Linked DNA regions of Xenopus tropicalis. The protein of the gene in region 2 interacts with the protein of the main gene of each other region in a pairwise test. Links are inferred from orthologs where the notes say so. Each region holds a gene or a part of one and is shown on either strand. Other genes may lie near its edges.

Region 1 (3,519 bases), on a different chromosome or scaffold from region 2:
GCTATATAAGTGTAGTGGTCCACCCAGCTGCTATTTTATACTTCTACTGTAAGTGAATATTTTTACACCACACAGTGCAGATGCCAGAAGCACAGGGACATTAAATGAGTTTCCAAGGACCCGGGAACAGAATGGTCCAATGGTGGGATATTTGCCAATAAATTTCCGAAACATCTGAGCTGGCATTACAGTAACACCTAATTAATAATGTATACAGTTTAAGTTCAGGAAAACAATATTCCACTGACACAAATCTTTTCTTTAATGATTTATTTCCCCCCGGGAAAATTTTCTGTGGATGCCCATGCCTGCATTCTGTTCTGTGGCCTCCCTGCTATTCCTGTAAAACCCAGTTCACACACAGCTGTTACTAATCCTGCCTCTGGCCCATACACTACATCATTCTGCTCTATCTGTATGGATCCTGCTCATACAGCTGTCAGCACAGATCCAGCCTTGCCTAATCTCTCACCCCTTCACTCACCTGCTTCTTGCTGTCACGGAAGATTTCCCCTGCATTCTCAATCACATCCTCATCACTTAGTTCACCATATGGTTGCTCCTTGCACAGCATTAAAATTTCCCACAACGTCACGCCAAAAGCCCACACATCACTGGCTGTGGTGAATTTTCCCTGTATGAAAATTATATTTTGGATCAGTTCTTAATAGTGTTGCATACACGAATACACATACAGTGATTAGACATGGGATAAAGAGAATGCTCAAAAGGAGGGAGAAGGGGTGGAGGTTGGCGTGAATGCCATAATGAGTCAAGAGAAGGCTGCAAAGTACTGGAACGGCCATCATAACTGCTGTTGCCTATTTTATGAATTAGAACGCACATGTGGCAGACTGTGTTGCCTGCAACCTGCCAGAGCAAATCTACACACAGTCGTATAAATCAGATTTTATTCTCAGGTGTCAGTGACTTATAGTCAGGGCTGATATTCAGAAGGCTCACAATGAGTTGCCAACCCAAGTCTCTTTTTTTCTTTTTTTTTTCTACATGGCTAATTAAAAAGTTAACTCACAATATTTAAAAGGCAAATGAAAAGATTAGTTCATTTTACATAGAAGTCCACATGACAGCACTCCAATAAACAGATAAAAATGCCTTTATTTAGTCATTTAGAGCACAGAATAGCAACTTTTGAAGTCTATATGGCTGCGTGTTTTTTTGACATCATCAGTGAAGGACATTTCTGGCTTCTAAACAGCATTTAGGACACTTTCCCCCAGACAATATTTGTCATTGCCAGTGTGCTGCTTAGGAGAAATTATGAAATAAAAAATTATTAATCTTGGGCTTGTTTTCTCTGGAGAAAAGGTGCTTGCAAGGGGACATGTTTACTTTTTACATTACAAGTACATTAGAGGGCATTACCAACTTTAAGCTTGAGGAACAGAACTTTCATTTGAAGCAGCAAAACGTTTTTTCATTCTAAGGGCAGTGAGGTTTTGGAATGCTTTGCTGGGTGACATTATGAAGGCAGAGACTATCAATGTGTTTAGGAGGGGCTTAGATGACTTCTTGGACAAGTATAATATCACAGGCTACAGTAAACCCTACACAGTTATTTTAGTTTAATATAGACATGTGTATATATACTTTATATATTTCAGTGCACATAAAGGTCTGCATAGGTATGTGTGTACATATATATGCACTGGGGGTTATTTGGAAGGTTTGAATTTAATGAAATATTATCGCTTTTCAAACCAAATTAAGTATGCAACACTGTATGTTCAAGTTTATTATATGGACAAATGAATTCTAACATAACTATGCTCACCATAAGTATGCACTCCCAGGCCATCCATCTAATTGGCAGTACTGCCCTGCCCTGTATTCGGTAGTAGTCTCCAGCATACAAGTTGCGGCTCATCCCAAAATCTGCAATCTTTATGGTGAAGTTTTCCCCCACCAAGCAATTTCTTGAGGCCAGGTCCCGGTGTACAAAGTTAAGGGACGAAAGGTATTTCATTCCAGAACAAATCTGCACAGCCACGTGCAATAGGCTGGGGTAACTGCAGGGGAGACAAAAATAATAACAATAAACAGAATGAGTGTAGGACAAATAGATAACTATAGACAGTGAGTCATTTCAGAGTGGTTCCCACACCTGATAGCAGGCAGACATTGTGCTCCACTTTCCTCTCCTTCATCCAGGTGATGGGAACTCAGAAACTGATTGAGATCTCCATTTTCCATATACTCTGTGATCATGCAGAGCGGATCTTCATCCAGACAAGCACCCAGCAGACGGATAATGTGAGGATCACTCAGACGGGACAAGATCTTCAGTTCCTTCAGGAAATCGCTTCTGTAGGCAGGAATGCAAAAAAAAGTACCATGCTGATACATAGTGCTGACTGCATTTCAACCATATGTATACTTTTTATGAACAGTGTTTCTGATGGGAAGTAATACCTATAGGCAGATAATGAGAAGTGCCCTTTATTGACATTCAATGAATAGTAATAAAATGGTGTATTGTCATACCAGAAAGCCATAATTATGGAGCACCATGAGATGCTCTTATTTAAAATATGACTTTGGCTACTAAAATAAGGGGTAAAAATGGTTCAGACTGAGCATTTAAAGACTAAATAATAACCCACAATCAGTTCAGTAAATAATAATCAATTTACCTTGCATTCTTATTGGCATCGGCTCTCAACAATTTAACAGCCACAAGCAGGCTTCTTCCCTTGCGCATGTTAAATGGAAACTGTAAAGTGGGGAGCTCATGAGGATTCACTACTTCACACAGGTGTACCTGAAAAAATGATACATTATGTACATAAAACCAGCAAAAGCTGAAGGGTCCTGTAAGAGAAGCAGAAAAAAGAGGCACAGCAAAAGAATGTATGATTTTGCAGGGCTAATGAACAAAGAAATTGGTAGGACTGTACATGATGAAGATCGGAGTGGGAGTATGGTTAAGCATTATAGTAACATAGTAACATAGTAAGTTGGGTTGAAAAAAGACATACGTCCATCAAGTTCAACCATAATGCCTATACCTAACCTGCCTAACTACAAGTTGATCCAGAGGAAGGCAAAAAACCCCATCTGAAGCCTCTCTAATTTGCCTCAGAGGGGAAAAAATTCCTTCCTGACTCCAAGATGGCAATCGGACCAGTCCCTGTATCAACTTGTACTAAGAGCTATCTCCCATAACCGTGTATTCCCTCACTTGCTAAGAATCCATCCAGCCCCTTCTTAAAGCTATATAATGTATCAGCCAGTACGACTGATTCGGGGAGGGAATTCCACAACTTCACAGCTCTCACTGTAAAAAATCCTTTCCGAATATTTAAATGGAACCTCCCTTCTTCTAAACGGAGTGGGTGCCCTCGTGTCCATTATGTTAAGATGTAAAGATCATTTTTGAAGTAAACAAAAGCAGCACTTACCTCTCCAAACTGCCCCTCACCCAGCTTCTCCTTAAAAAGGAGATGTCCACGGGGGAATTTACAAAGAGGCAAGTCTTTGGAAGCGAGGGAGTCGGCA
Region 2 (4,096 bases):
CTGCTAAAAAAAATAAATATCAAACCCGAGAGATGCAAAACCAGAAGTTAGATCTTATAAAAAATACACACACAAAAAAAACTAATTGCAAATTGTCTCATTCTGTAATTTGTCTACATCAAGCTACATGTTCATTTTAATGTGAGCTGTCCCTCTGTTTATCCCTATTGTTATTATAGCCTCCCCCTCCCTACATAAACAAAACAGAGATCAACCTAAGAACACAGAATTTACAATAGGAAACCCGTGGTGCAGGGGAAAGATTCTTACACTTTTTTTCCTCCAATATTCCTTATACATGTATACTCTTATGCTTATGAGACATTCACCTAAGAAACCCTTCTTGAAAACCCCTACAGCGTACATTGCCTGGCAACATAAGCCAGATCGGTGCTAGAAATAGTTGAACAAAGAACAATGTAAATTTCCATATATGAAACATCTCCTTCTGTTTTTCTAAAATGCTTGTCTCCCCATATCCCCTATATGCCCCTATGAAACTTAAACTGAATGTTGCAATAAAGGACATTTATACATATATTGTATATATCTGTAAGGAATACCAGTTGCACAGTACAGACTGGGCTTCAAGCTGATGTATAGCCCATAGATGTGCCACCTGTAAGAGCTCACAAATGATTGGAGCTGCAGTAAGGATTCTTAAAACTTTTATGGTCTCTTAGAAGTTATGGTAACCATTAGAATAGCTGTTAAGCAAAGTATACAGAAAGAGGGAAAAGCCGTGCATAAGCTTTAACATTATTCTGTAGGAAAACAGAACTACACCAGCCATCAATTCCATGTCCCTGTGCCATCAAAGCAACACAGTTTTCCAAGCGCAGCTGGACTAATACTAAGCAAAAAGGAGAGCTCCCTATTGCTGTTATACAATGTATAATGCATATAATGTCAGTGGGAGATTGAAGTTTCCCTTTCCTACTTGCTGCAACAGAAATTCTCCCAGGATAAAAGGGGGTTTGGATATTTTGTTTGCCTTTTGCATACAGCTGAGAATAAAGAAGAATAATATACAAGGTGCTTAATATACAGGGTGCTTAATCACTAGTTTTCAGTGTAGTTGCCAGGAGCCCAGGAGAAGCAGCAGCTCTAGCACACATACACTTGCAGCAGCCCCAGACAAAGACGTCAGCACTAGAGATTTACCAAACTGCCAGGAACTGGCTCAGCCAATAGCAGAGGCGCAAGGGAGGGGGCGCCTAAGCCCAGCCCCACCTTGGGTGCATATAAAGTTGAGCCTCAGCAGTCTGTATAGAGACAAATCATCCTAGCTCTCTAGCAGCATCACTGACTCACTGACAGAACTAGCAGAAGAGAGCTCTGGGACTAATACAAATCCATTGAGGGACATTATGCAGAGTGCAATGTTTCTTGCCATTCAGCACAACTGTGGGCAAGTCGAACGCTCGTCTCCTGGAGGCTGTCAGAAAAACGAGGAGAAAAGAGGGAAGATGAAGAAAACTATGTAAGTTTCTATACACATTGCTGTCAGTCTGTATTATCTGCTGCTTTGCGCTCTGCAGAGGGAACCGAGCATTGCAAATGGCATGGGCTCTCCCTACAGAGCTCAGTTCTCTATGGCTGCTTTCCCTAAAAACCAATGGCACTGGCATTTATTGCAGAATGTATTTCTTCTGCTGCATATCTTCTTATATAGACATATATATATAATACTGGGCATCAGTTAAATACCAGCTTTTAAGGATAGTTTTACACTGCTTTTAAGTCCCTGTGCAACTTTTTGCATTCAAACTATTTTCAGTTTCCAGATGCATGCGTGAAAACTACTAAACCGTGCCTATTCACATTATTGCATTAGGTTTATTAATATTATTTTATTTTGCTGACATAAGAGTACAGTAATGCAGTAAGATTTGCTTTTTATTAAAATATGGATAATGGAAACCAATTGCTTGTAGAGTAGTAAAAGCGCAGGAATAGTCAGGATGGCGGCAGCGAGAGCCTCAGTGAATAAGTCATTCCTGGGCTGTACAGTAATGCAATGATCTCATACAGGCAACATACGTTGCACAGCTGGGAGAAGCAACTGCAATGGCCTCTTGTGTTTCCTTAAAATGTGCCAACACGAGTAATAACTAGTCATACCGAGTGTGACGCACTTATGAGATAGATTACGTTGGGTAAGATAATGTTTAACAAAGATACAAAGATTAATTGAGTCTATAAAAGCCACTCTTATCTAACCCTCTATATATCCCTAATTAGATCTTTAGATTGCAGCAATTAAACCTCAGTATTTATGTTGCCCTTTTTAATTTTAATATCTGATGTGGAACCATGGTCCAAATATAGAAACGTTAATTGTTAACTGCTCCCTAGGGGAGTGAGCTGCCGCCCTGACACAGATGGTATTGTACTTTGCTCTGAAGTTTAGCTATAAATACTTTCAGCAGATCAAAAGTCTTCCTTAAAGCAACAGGCGACTTGCCTTTAAAAAGAAACAGACTAAAGGTCACAAGATCTTCGCTAGGCTGCAGAACTAATTAGATAGCCTGGGAGTTAACCCCTTCACAGCTGGGCAAGTTTAGAGGCAATTTTCATTTCCAGGCAACAGAATTTTTGATGCCTTTATTCTGCTTTCTAACACTGAACTGCGCTGTGGCGTTTAAAGAGTTTTAATAAAAGATTCTCTTTCCCTTTGCAGTTTAAAAGATTGGAAGACACGTCTGAGCTACTTCCTGCAGAATTCTCAGAACACATCCAACGGGTCCTTAAATATGGGGCAGAACAAAAGAGGCAAAAAGAACGCCTATTGCAGGTACAGTATATAGAGATTGATTATATCTCACTACCTGAATGTAATATTGTTCTTTGTAAGGCAATGGGAAACTAAGCAGAAGTATTCATGATCCCTGTCTATCTTTCAGGCCCACTCCAGAAGAAGCCAAGAGTTGGTCAGAAACCTTTGATGATCTTCTTGCCAGCAAATGTAAGTTATTATCAGAAACTAATTTGGGCACAGCAGATAGATAAATATTAAGGGGAATCAGTATTTCTGTGGACCATACATATATAGTGTGCGTGTATTAATATACAGCTTAAAAGGTGCACAACCATTATGATATGCCACAACCTAGATGCAGAAAACTTTTTCTTTCTTTCTTTCTATCTTCTATCTATCTTTCTATCTATCTCTATCTATCTATCTATCTATCTATCTATCTATCTATCTATCTATCTGTCTGTCTATCTAATCAGTTTCATAAAAGGAATCAGAGAATAGTTATAGCATAGAAAAGCATATAAGTAGCCCAAGGATTTTGAAGTTCATTATCATTACAGGAAAAAGTAATTAACACATTTGTTTCTCTCTTGTTAACAGACGGAGTAGCAGCATTCAGAGCCTTTTTAAAATCCGAGTTCAGTGAAGAGAATATTGAGTTCTGGCTGGCATGTGAAGATTTTAAAAAGACCAAATCCCCACACAAGCTGACAGCAAAAGCAAAGAAGATTTATGATGAATTCATTGAAAAGGAAGCCCCCAAAGAGGTAAGCAGCTACATGCCAGAACCATTACCCCAATGTAGTCGTTGCTTAGTAAATACGATATCATACTAGAGTTGTGTTTGAGTAATGCAGCCATTTGTTTGCATAGTTATTTTAAGAAGTCTTTTGACACAGTTACCGTTTATGTTCTCTAAATAGCATTTTAATGTAATGGTGATGAAAGCATTGTGTGCATAACCTATCTTACCTATGGGTGTAGCTCAAGTGCACTAGTCACAAAGAGAACACTTTAGTCTCCTAAGCCGAAACACTGGTATTTTTCAAGTAGCAGAGCTTACAAAGGAAAATACTATGATTTCTCCCAGACCATCACCTATTTAACAAGAGATATATTTTAAAATCAAGCCTAAAAATGTGTTATTTTTCATTAAACATCAGGACCAATTCATAACTTTATTTTTATATCTTTCCTGCAGATTAACATTGACTTTCAAACTCGGGAAAACATTATGCAAACCATGCAGGAACCTTCACACTCCTGCTTCAGCGCTGCCCAGAGACGGGTGTACAGCTTGATGGTGAATAATTCATACCCACGCTTTATTCAGTC
Region 3 (4,108 bases), on a different chromosome or scaffold from region 2:
TCACAAATAGGCAGGGTGTGATCAGACATTTTGGTAAATGCGACTTGCCTTGCCTCTTTTATATTAGGACAGTCTAAAAAGGCCCATCTGTTTGTCTGGGCAATTACTTAAGGTTTCTGTTGGTTTCTGTAGGTTGTGTGTTGGGTCCAGATAGGCAGAGAAGTATTTATTATGCCAGCTTTAAGCAGTGGGCATCACTGATGGGCCGTGAAAACATGGTGATCTGTCTCAAGATGACTATTTATTGTTACATAGTTACATAGGGTTGAAAAAAGACCAGTGTCCATCAAGTTCAACCCATCCAAGTAAACCCAGCACACCTAACCCACACCTACCAATCTATACACTCACATACATAAACTATAAATACAACCACTAGTACTAACTGTAGATATTAGTATCACAATAGCCTTGGATATTCTGATTGTTCAAGAACTCATCTAGGCCCCTCTTAAAGGCATTAACAGAATCTGCCATTACCACATCTATAGGGATAGTATAACCCACCCCCATATGTAAAAAAATAAACTAAGTTTGCCCTGGTGCTATAACCCATAGCAACCAATAGGATGTTTGCTTTTAAACAGGTGACCAGTAAATGCTGCCTCCTTGTTTGATTGCTGTGGGTTTCTGCTCTTGGGCAAACATTGTGCTTTTTATTACATAACCCCATTATTCTTAAAACATATTTCTAATTTTAGGCTGTGCTGACAGGTAGTTGTGAATCCATCATATTGCCGGATGCATGATTCATCCTTCCAGAGTACACGGTCCACTGCTTTAGTGAATCAAATAACAGCAATATTAAAACAATGCAGTTGACATTTTGCATTACATGTGGGAGGCTTGTGTGCACAATTAAAAAAAAAAAACCTTGCCTTTACAATAGTCCCTGTGCTCATGTTAGTTCCAAATACAGTTTGGAACTCAACAATGATGGTTCTAACAAAGGACGTGATTATATATAATGTCCAGATTCTTATGTTCATGAAACTTTACCAAAAATTCAGAACAAGCAATACCTGTGATAGAATAATGTCAAAAAGCTTGTAGGTTTGTTGGTAAAAGAGAAAAGTGAGTTTTTTTGTTTTTTAACAAATAAATCATAAAAAAATTTTCTTAAACTGTTTTTGATTGTTTGACTTTTGATGTTATAATGGATTTATAACATCTCTTCTAAATGGATGTTTAGTAACTACCTATGGTTGGTGTTTTTTTGTACTTTTTATGCTTCAACTCTTTTGAGATGGTCCATCTCAAAGAGTCTACCACCTTTCCTTTCCTAACTGGACGTTTTTTGAGCAAATCATACCATATGACTTTTCCTTAGTTCATAATATTTGTAGAATACCCTTTTGCTGTTATTGCTCTGTTGCTGCTTTTGTCTACGAACAGTGACAAGTCATATATGGTTGTGCCTAACTGCTAGACCAGTGATCACAAACTATTAGCTAGGAGGCAGGTTTTAAATCACAGACACACCGTTTTACTCCAAACAGGCTAGCAGTCCACATGGGGCTACCAAATAGCCAATCACAGGCCTTATTTGGCGTCCCCAAAGAACTTTTTTTCATACTTGAGTGGCTCACAAAAAAAAAAAAAGGTTGAGCTAGACATACTTTGTTTCTTTATTATTGCTTTTTACCTTAAAATAAAACTAAACAAAATTTTATACTTTACTAATACTGTATGTGTGGTGGTGAATATTAACTATTTTGCCTTGTTTATGGATTCTGAAAGTTTTTAGTTAACAAAAAAAGTTTAAATATTTAGAATATCATTGAAAATAGGATATTGCATTTAGTGACCTTAAACTAGCAAATAAAATCAGTTCTTTGCCTGTGTATTAGCTTACAAAGATCTTGAGTCCAGAGAAGAGACACGTAAAGCTGCTTGGACCAAACGAGGATGGGATGAGAATGTATACTATACAGGTAATGTACCAAATGTTTACAGTGATTCTAATAATAGATCAGTATAATTCCCTTATATCAGTCACTTTCTTTATAACCCAATTAATGACCAGTGTATTTGCTGTGATGGTAAAATGTACCATTTAGAATACATAATTTAACATACAGCACAAGGTGTTTTTTCGCATTGTAGAAAAAGATGTTAGAACTTGATTTTCATTAATGTGTGACCATGTGCTGAAAAGTAATTTTCATAGTTTTCTACTTCATATACTACAAGTTCTTGTTATGGCTGTTAATGAGATGCTGGGAATCATGTTTTTTTAAAACTGAAATATTTAAAAATCCTGTCTGTGATTATTTTCTAAAAAGCTAACGTTGTTATATTTTTCAGTTCCACTTGTCAGGAATATGGAGTCCCGTATTATGATCCCACTGAAGATCTCTCCCCTGCAGTGATTAGCAATCTCGCCTTTTCCACATTTTTCTCAAGTGCTAGGTTCTAGTTTCAGTAATGTGAATAAATTCTGCTCTGATAATTCTAGTTCATAAGTATGGAACAGAACAAGGGACAGGTCTTGCACCCAATTACTTTAACCAAATCATGTTAAAATGATTATCTTTGCAAATGACAGAGATGGTAAGGTGCAGCATTTTCCTAAAGCTTTGAGCAGCTGCATGCCATCACTTTCCCAGTCAATAACTTTACCTCATAACAGATGTTACTGGGCTCATTTATAAAAACTGGGCAAATTTGCACCTGGACAGTAATCCCCCATAGCAACCAATCATTGATATAATTTTTCCAGACAACTACAGGTGGAGTAATGAAAGCAAACTTCTGATTGGTTACTAAAGGTTACTGCCTAGGTGCTAATTTGCAAAGTTTTTTTTTTTTTATAAATGACCCCAATGTGCTAAGCTTATTTTGTGCTGTCAATATTTGACATTAGTTTAAAACTTTAAACATGTGCAGTACTTGCAGTATGTAGCCTGGAAGACCAGGCCACAGCAGCCTGTATAATTGTTTGTTCCCTGTATAAATAATTGTTTGTTCTCCCATTTATTTGTTTTGCCTTTCACCCTAGTGTAGCTTTAGCATAGGTCCCATTCCTTTGTTTAAAAGCAAACACCCAATTTAAAATATCCCCCTCCCCAGTGATATCTAATGCTACCCCATAAGTTGCCCCATGCCCTTTATCTGGCCTAACAAAAAAAAAGTATATCAATAGGGTTTGCAGCCACCATGTCTGACTGTGCCACATATGCATGAAGGATCCAATGTGTTGATCATTGTAAGCTGATTTGGTGATACAGGCAGACATGGAGGTCAACAAGTCCACTATGCTATTCTGCTTTGTTGGGCCAGGTACAGGGCATCCCAAATAGCACTGGTATGGGTCTTTGTCATGGCAGGGGATGGAATTTTTAAAAAATGACTGAGGAAGGGTTTTGTTCTCCTTGGATATTACTTTAACCAGTTTTAAGGGCCCATTGCATTCATGCATTTCATTTTCAGTTGTCATGCTCAGGGAACAATGTAAAACTATCCATCAAGAACCAGTTGTCTCTGACTTTGTAAATGAATGTCTGTGAAGATATCAGCTTTTATATGTGCTCTAAAAGTCCCAGCATTTACAATGTTAGAAAAATATCATAGTAAACTCATTTAACAACAGTGATTTGGTGGTGTCAAATAAATTGATTTATTTCGAGGTTTAAATATATCAGACTGTTGGGTAGTATTTTCCACTTGTAGCTTCTGGTACATGACTTATGTTTGCTTCATTAGTTGGTGCCTTGGCATAACGGTACAATATTTAATTTAGAAAGTCCCACACTCTGCATACAATGTATATACAGTGCCGTACAAAAGTATCGATCAATGTCGCTAAATAAATCCTACATTAAAATTTCTTCTCTCTGTATAAGAGAATAAGCGTATTTTGGGACAAGTACCAACTTTGCAGGTTTCCAAAGTGGCATTACTCCCATTTAAAAAAAAAAAAAAAAAAAAAAAAAATATATATATATATAAAAACTAAAATATAAATACAATATGTTAACTGTCTCTTGATCAGAGTGACCACCCTAATGTATAAATGTGTGAGACCTAATTGCAGGGACTGATGTTAAAGGAGAAGGAAAGGTAAAAATCACTGAGGGTGTGCATGCCTGGTATATGCTGTAAACAG
Region 4 (2,760 bases), about 81 Mb from region 2:
CAGTACATGCACTAGTGATATGAGCAAAGTATGAATCAAAACACGGGAGCACTTACCGCTCAAAACAGGTGTGCTACACGCGGATCCTTCTCCCAGTGGATCCCTAATATAGATTCACAAAAAAGAAGAAAAGCAGACCACCAAAAAAATGAAAATAAAAACTCAGTCTTTATTCCAGCATCAGTAAAAGGCACATATACATCCCAAAGGACCTATGCTTGACGCGTTTCGTGGCGTCCCGCCACTTCCTCAGAAGCATGCTTTTGTGAATCTATATTAGGGATCCACTGGGAAAAGGATCCGCGTGTAGCACACCTGTTTTGAGTGGTAAGTGCTCCCGTGTTTTGATTCATACTTTGCTCATATCACAAGTGCATGTAGTGATATGAGCGAAGCATGCTTCTGAGGAAGTGGCGGGACGCCACGAAACGCATCAAGCGTAGGTCCTTTGGGATGTATATGTGCCTTTTACTGATGCTGGAATAAAGACTGAGTTTTTATTTTCATTTTTGTGGTGCTCTGCTTTTCTTCTTTTTTGTGAAACTAGTGATATGAGCACCATGCTTTAATATAACCATAGTATATCATTTGTATAGAACCTACACCTTTGCTTTAGAAAGAAAATACCTGTACCAAGAGAAACCCATTAAATAAGACATTTTGTTGGAAGTGGACATTTTGGGATTGAACATTTGACAGTGAATTAAAAACAATTGTACCAAGATCATGTTACTCTCTTGTGTTGTTGTGTAGGTCTGTCATTGTTGGAAATTCCCATGGGAATATGGCAGTTATCGATCTAAGGAAAGGTAAGAGTCTCAAGTTTGTACTCAAATGTACTTTTGGTCTCTCTGTCCCACTTCATCATTTTTAATTCCCTTCCCAGGCCGATTGCTTTGTGCTCTCAAGGGAAGTGCTGGATCCATACGCTCCATCCAGTGCCACTCATCCATGCCTATTGTGGCTTCCTGTGGGCTTGACAGGTTCCTTCGAATCCACAACTATGAGAACAAAGAACTGCAGCACAAGGTGCTGATCTCCTTGTATGCGTTTCATTATGTAACTAAAATCTATTTGAAGTGCTTGCACTCTTCTGCACAATCAAATACAAGCTACTAGTATTATTTCTTATGCAAGAAAAAGTATGTCTAATTGTGTGCATTAACCCCTTAGTAAAGACCCACAAATAGTTACACATGGAATAGTATAATCTTGGATCCCAAAACAGGAGTTTCAGAGCAGAAAGAAGTTGCATGTCACACCGTTCTACATACTATTTTCTTTTTTTTAAGGTGTATCTGAAGTCTCGGTTAAACTGCCTTCTCTTAACGTCACGTGACAAATGGGAGGTAAGACTCAAGCTCTGCTGGCACCTGGGTTTTGGTATAGGGTAATATATGCATTGGAAAACTTTATTCAGGCTATAAGAAAAACTTAAGAGACTTGTCCTGTGTAATCCTAAGCCTTATCCACATCCGAAGTCCTATCAGACCACACCCATTACTCTGTTAACAAGGTCAGAAATGGGCAAGTTGTTAGTTAAGCTGACCCTGCCAGTGCTGGGTCAGGCGATTACCGCTTGGAGATGTGAATTTCTAAGCAATAATTGCTTGATCCGTAGGTATGCTGCCATGGTTTGTGCTGTTGATTTGCTGCGGTTAAGTAGACCAAACTAAAAATGTATGAGCACATCCCAAAGCTCTGGTAATGTCTTTACACAGTACGTCTGGTTTCATTTTAGGAAGATGATGTAACTTCAGCTGCAGAGCAGGATGTTAAGGAGGAGGAAGATGAAGTGTGGGACAACATGGAGACAGTGGTGGACAAAACCAGCAAAAAACGCCAGGGGGTTCAAATTAGGGCGCTGGAGGCTGGAACTAAAAACCCCACCCGTAAAAAAAAGAAATGTGCTTGAGCTCTACTTTTTTTGGAGAAATGTATTGATAAAGTATAGGCAAGTACAAACATGACTAACTGCTCCGATGTCCAGACTGCCATCTCTGCTGCTGCATTCTCCTTTAATTCCATCTCAAGGAAAGAGATCTTTTCTGCAGTTCATGGAGCAGCTTTTGGATAAACTGAACAACAGCTGACTGATATAGTGAGGATGCTGGACCCCATGCAGATGAACCTTATTAACCTGTATTTTATATCTCATAGACTAAAGTGAAGTGCTATCTATTGGATTTCATGTCACATTCATGTAAATATTTGTTCAATATAGGAATAAATAGATCCTTCCTACATATTCTGACTAGATACATGTTAAACTCTATTGGTTAGTCCTAATTATTAAACCTGCCCTATTTTAGACTACTGTTACTGCATTCATTCCCAAGTAATTCTGGTATCTTTTTTTGTACAGCACATGTATTTTACATGGCTGGAATAGTTTATCTCACATGAAGTTAAACACCTTTCGCCTGGTTATGGCATGGGGTAGAAGGGAGTACTAATGAAAATAAACCAAAATAAAAAAAAAACTCAGACAATGACTGTGGTGGAAAAGCCATAGGGGGTTATGTAATAAAAGACTGGTTATGCAATAAAATAATTTCGGTAAGTTTGAATTTCTTGGATAAACTCCATCCCGTCTATGTAATTACAGGCACCAAGTTTGGCCAGGAGCAGTAACCTATTGCAACCAGCAGGAATCATTTACTGGTCACTTGTTTAAAAGCAAACATCAATTGCTATTGGTTACTGCTCTTGGGCAAACTTGGTGCCTTTTATTACATATGGGGGATAGAGTTTATTTGG

Evidence for each region.
Region 1: the proteins of rgs2 (region 2) and ddr1 interact in a two-hybrid assay, tested with the Homo sapiens proteins (2 studies listed by BioGRID and IntAct). The link is inferred for Xenopus tropicalis from reciprocal best matches to the Homo sapiens genes RGS2 and DDR1.
Region 3: the proteins of rgs2 (region 2) and nipsnap1 interact in a two-hybrid assay, tested with the Homo sapiens proteins (2 studies listed by BioGRID and IntAct). The link is inferred for Xenopus tropicalis from reciprocal best matches to the Homo sapiens genes RGS2 and NIPSNAP1.
Region 4: the proteins of rgs2 (region 2) and wdr74 interact in a two-hybrid assay, tested with the Homo sapiens proteins (2 studies listed by BioGRID and IntAct). The link is inferred for Xenopus tropicalis from reciprocal best matches to the Homo sapiens genes RGS2 and WDR74.

Annotation. Positions count from the first base shown.
Region 1 is NC_030684.2:75,321,479-75,324,997, reverse strand, and holds part of ddr1 (epithelial discoidin domain-containing receptor 1), read right to left. Parts: coding exon 3,423-3,519; intron 2,783-3,422; coding exon 2,655-2,782; intron 2,327-2,654; coding exon 2,126-2,326; intron 2,031-2,125; coding exon 1,796-2,030; intron 635-1,795; coding exon 485-634; intron 1-484. UniProt on the Homo sapiens protein: Tyrosine kinase that functions as a cell surface receptor for fibrillar collagen and regulates cell attachment to the extracellular matrix, remodeling of the extracellular matrix, cell migration, differentiation, survival and cell proliferation.
Region 2 is NC_030680.2:117,678,586-117,682,681, forward strand, and holds the start of rgs2 (regulator of G-protein signaling 2), read left to right. Parts: upstream 1-1,293; 5' UTR 1,294-1,370; coding exon 1,371-1,483; intron 1,484-2,683; coding exon 2,684-2,797; intron 2,798-2,906; coding exon 2,907-2,968; intron 2,969-3,361; coding exon 3,362-3,528; intron 3,529-3,962; coding exon 3,963-4,096. UniProt on the Homo sapiens protein: Regulates G protein-coupled receptor signaling cascades. Inhibits signal transduction by increasing the GTPase activity of G protein alpha subunits, thereby driving them into their inactive GDP-bound form.
Region 3 is NC_030677.2:144,811,230-144,815,337, forward strand, and holds the end of nipsnap1 (protein NipSnap homolog 1), read left to right. Parts: intron 1-1,850; coding exon 1,851-1,934; intron 1,935-2,307; coding exon 2,308-2,372; 3' UTR 2,373-3,594; downstream 3,595-4,108.
Region 4 is NC_030680.2:36,483,006-36,485,765, forward strand, and holds the end of wdr74 (WD repeat-containing protein 74), read left to right. Parts: intron 1-753; coding exon 754-809; intron 810-886; coding exon 887-1,029; intron 1,030-1,292; coding exon 1,293-1,349; intron 1,350-1,741; coding exon 1,742-1,915; 3' UTR 1,916-2,246; downstream 2,247-2,760. UniProt on the Homo sapiens protein: Regulatory protein of the MTREX-exosome complex involved in the synthesis of the 60S ribosomal subunit. Participates in an early cleavage of the pre-rRNA processing pathway in cooperation with NVL.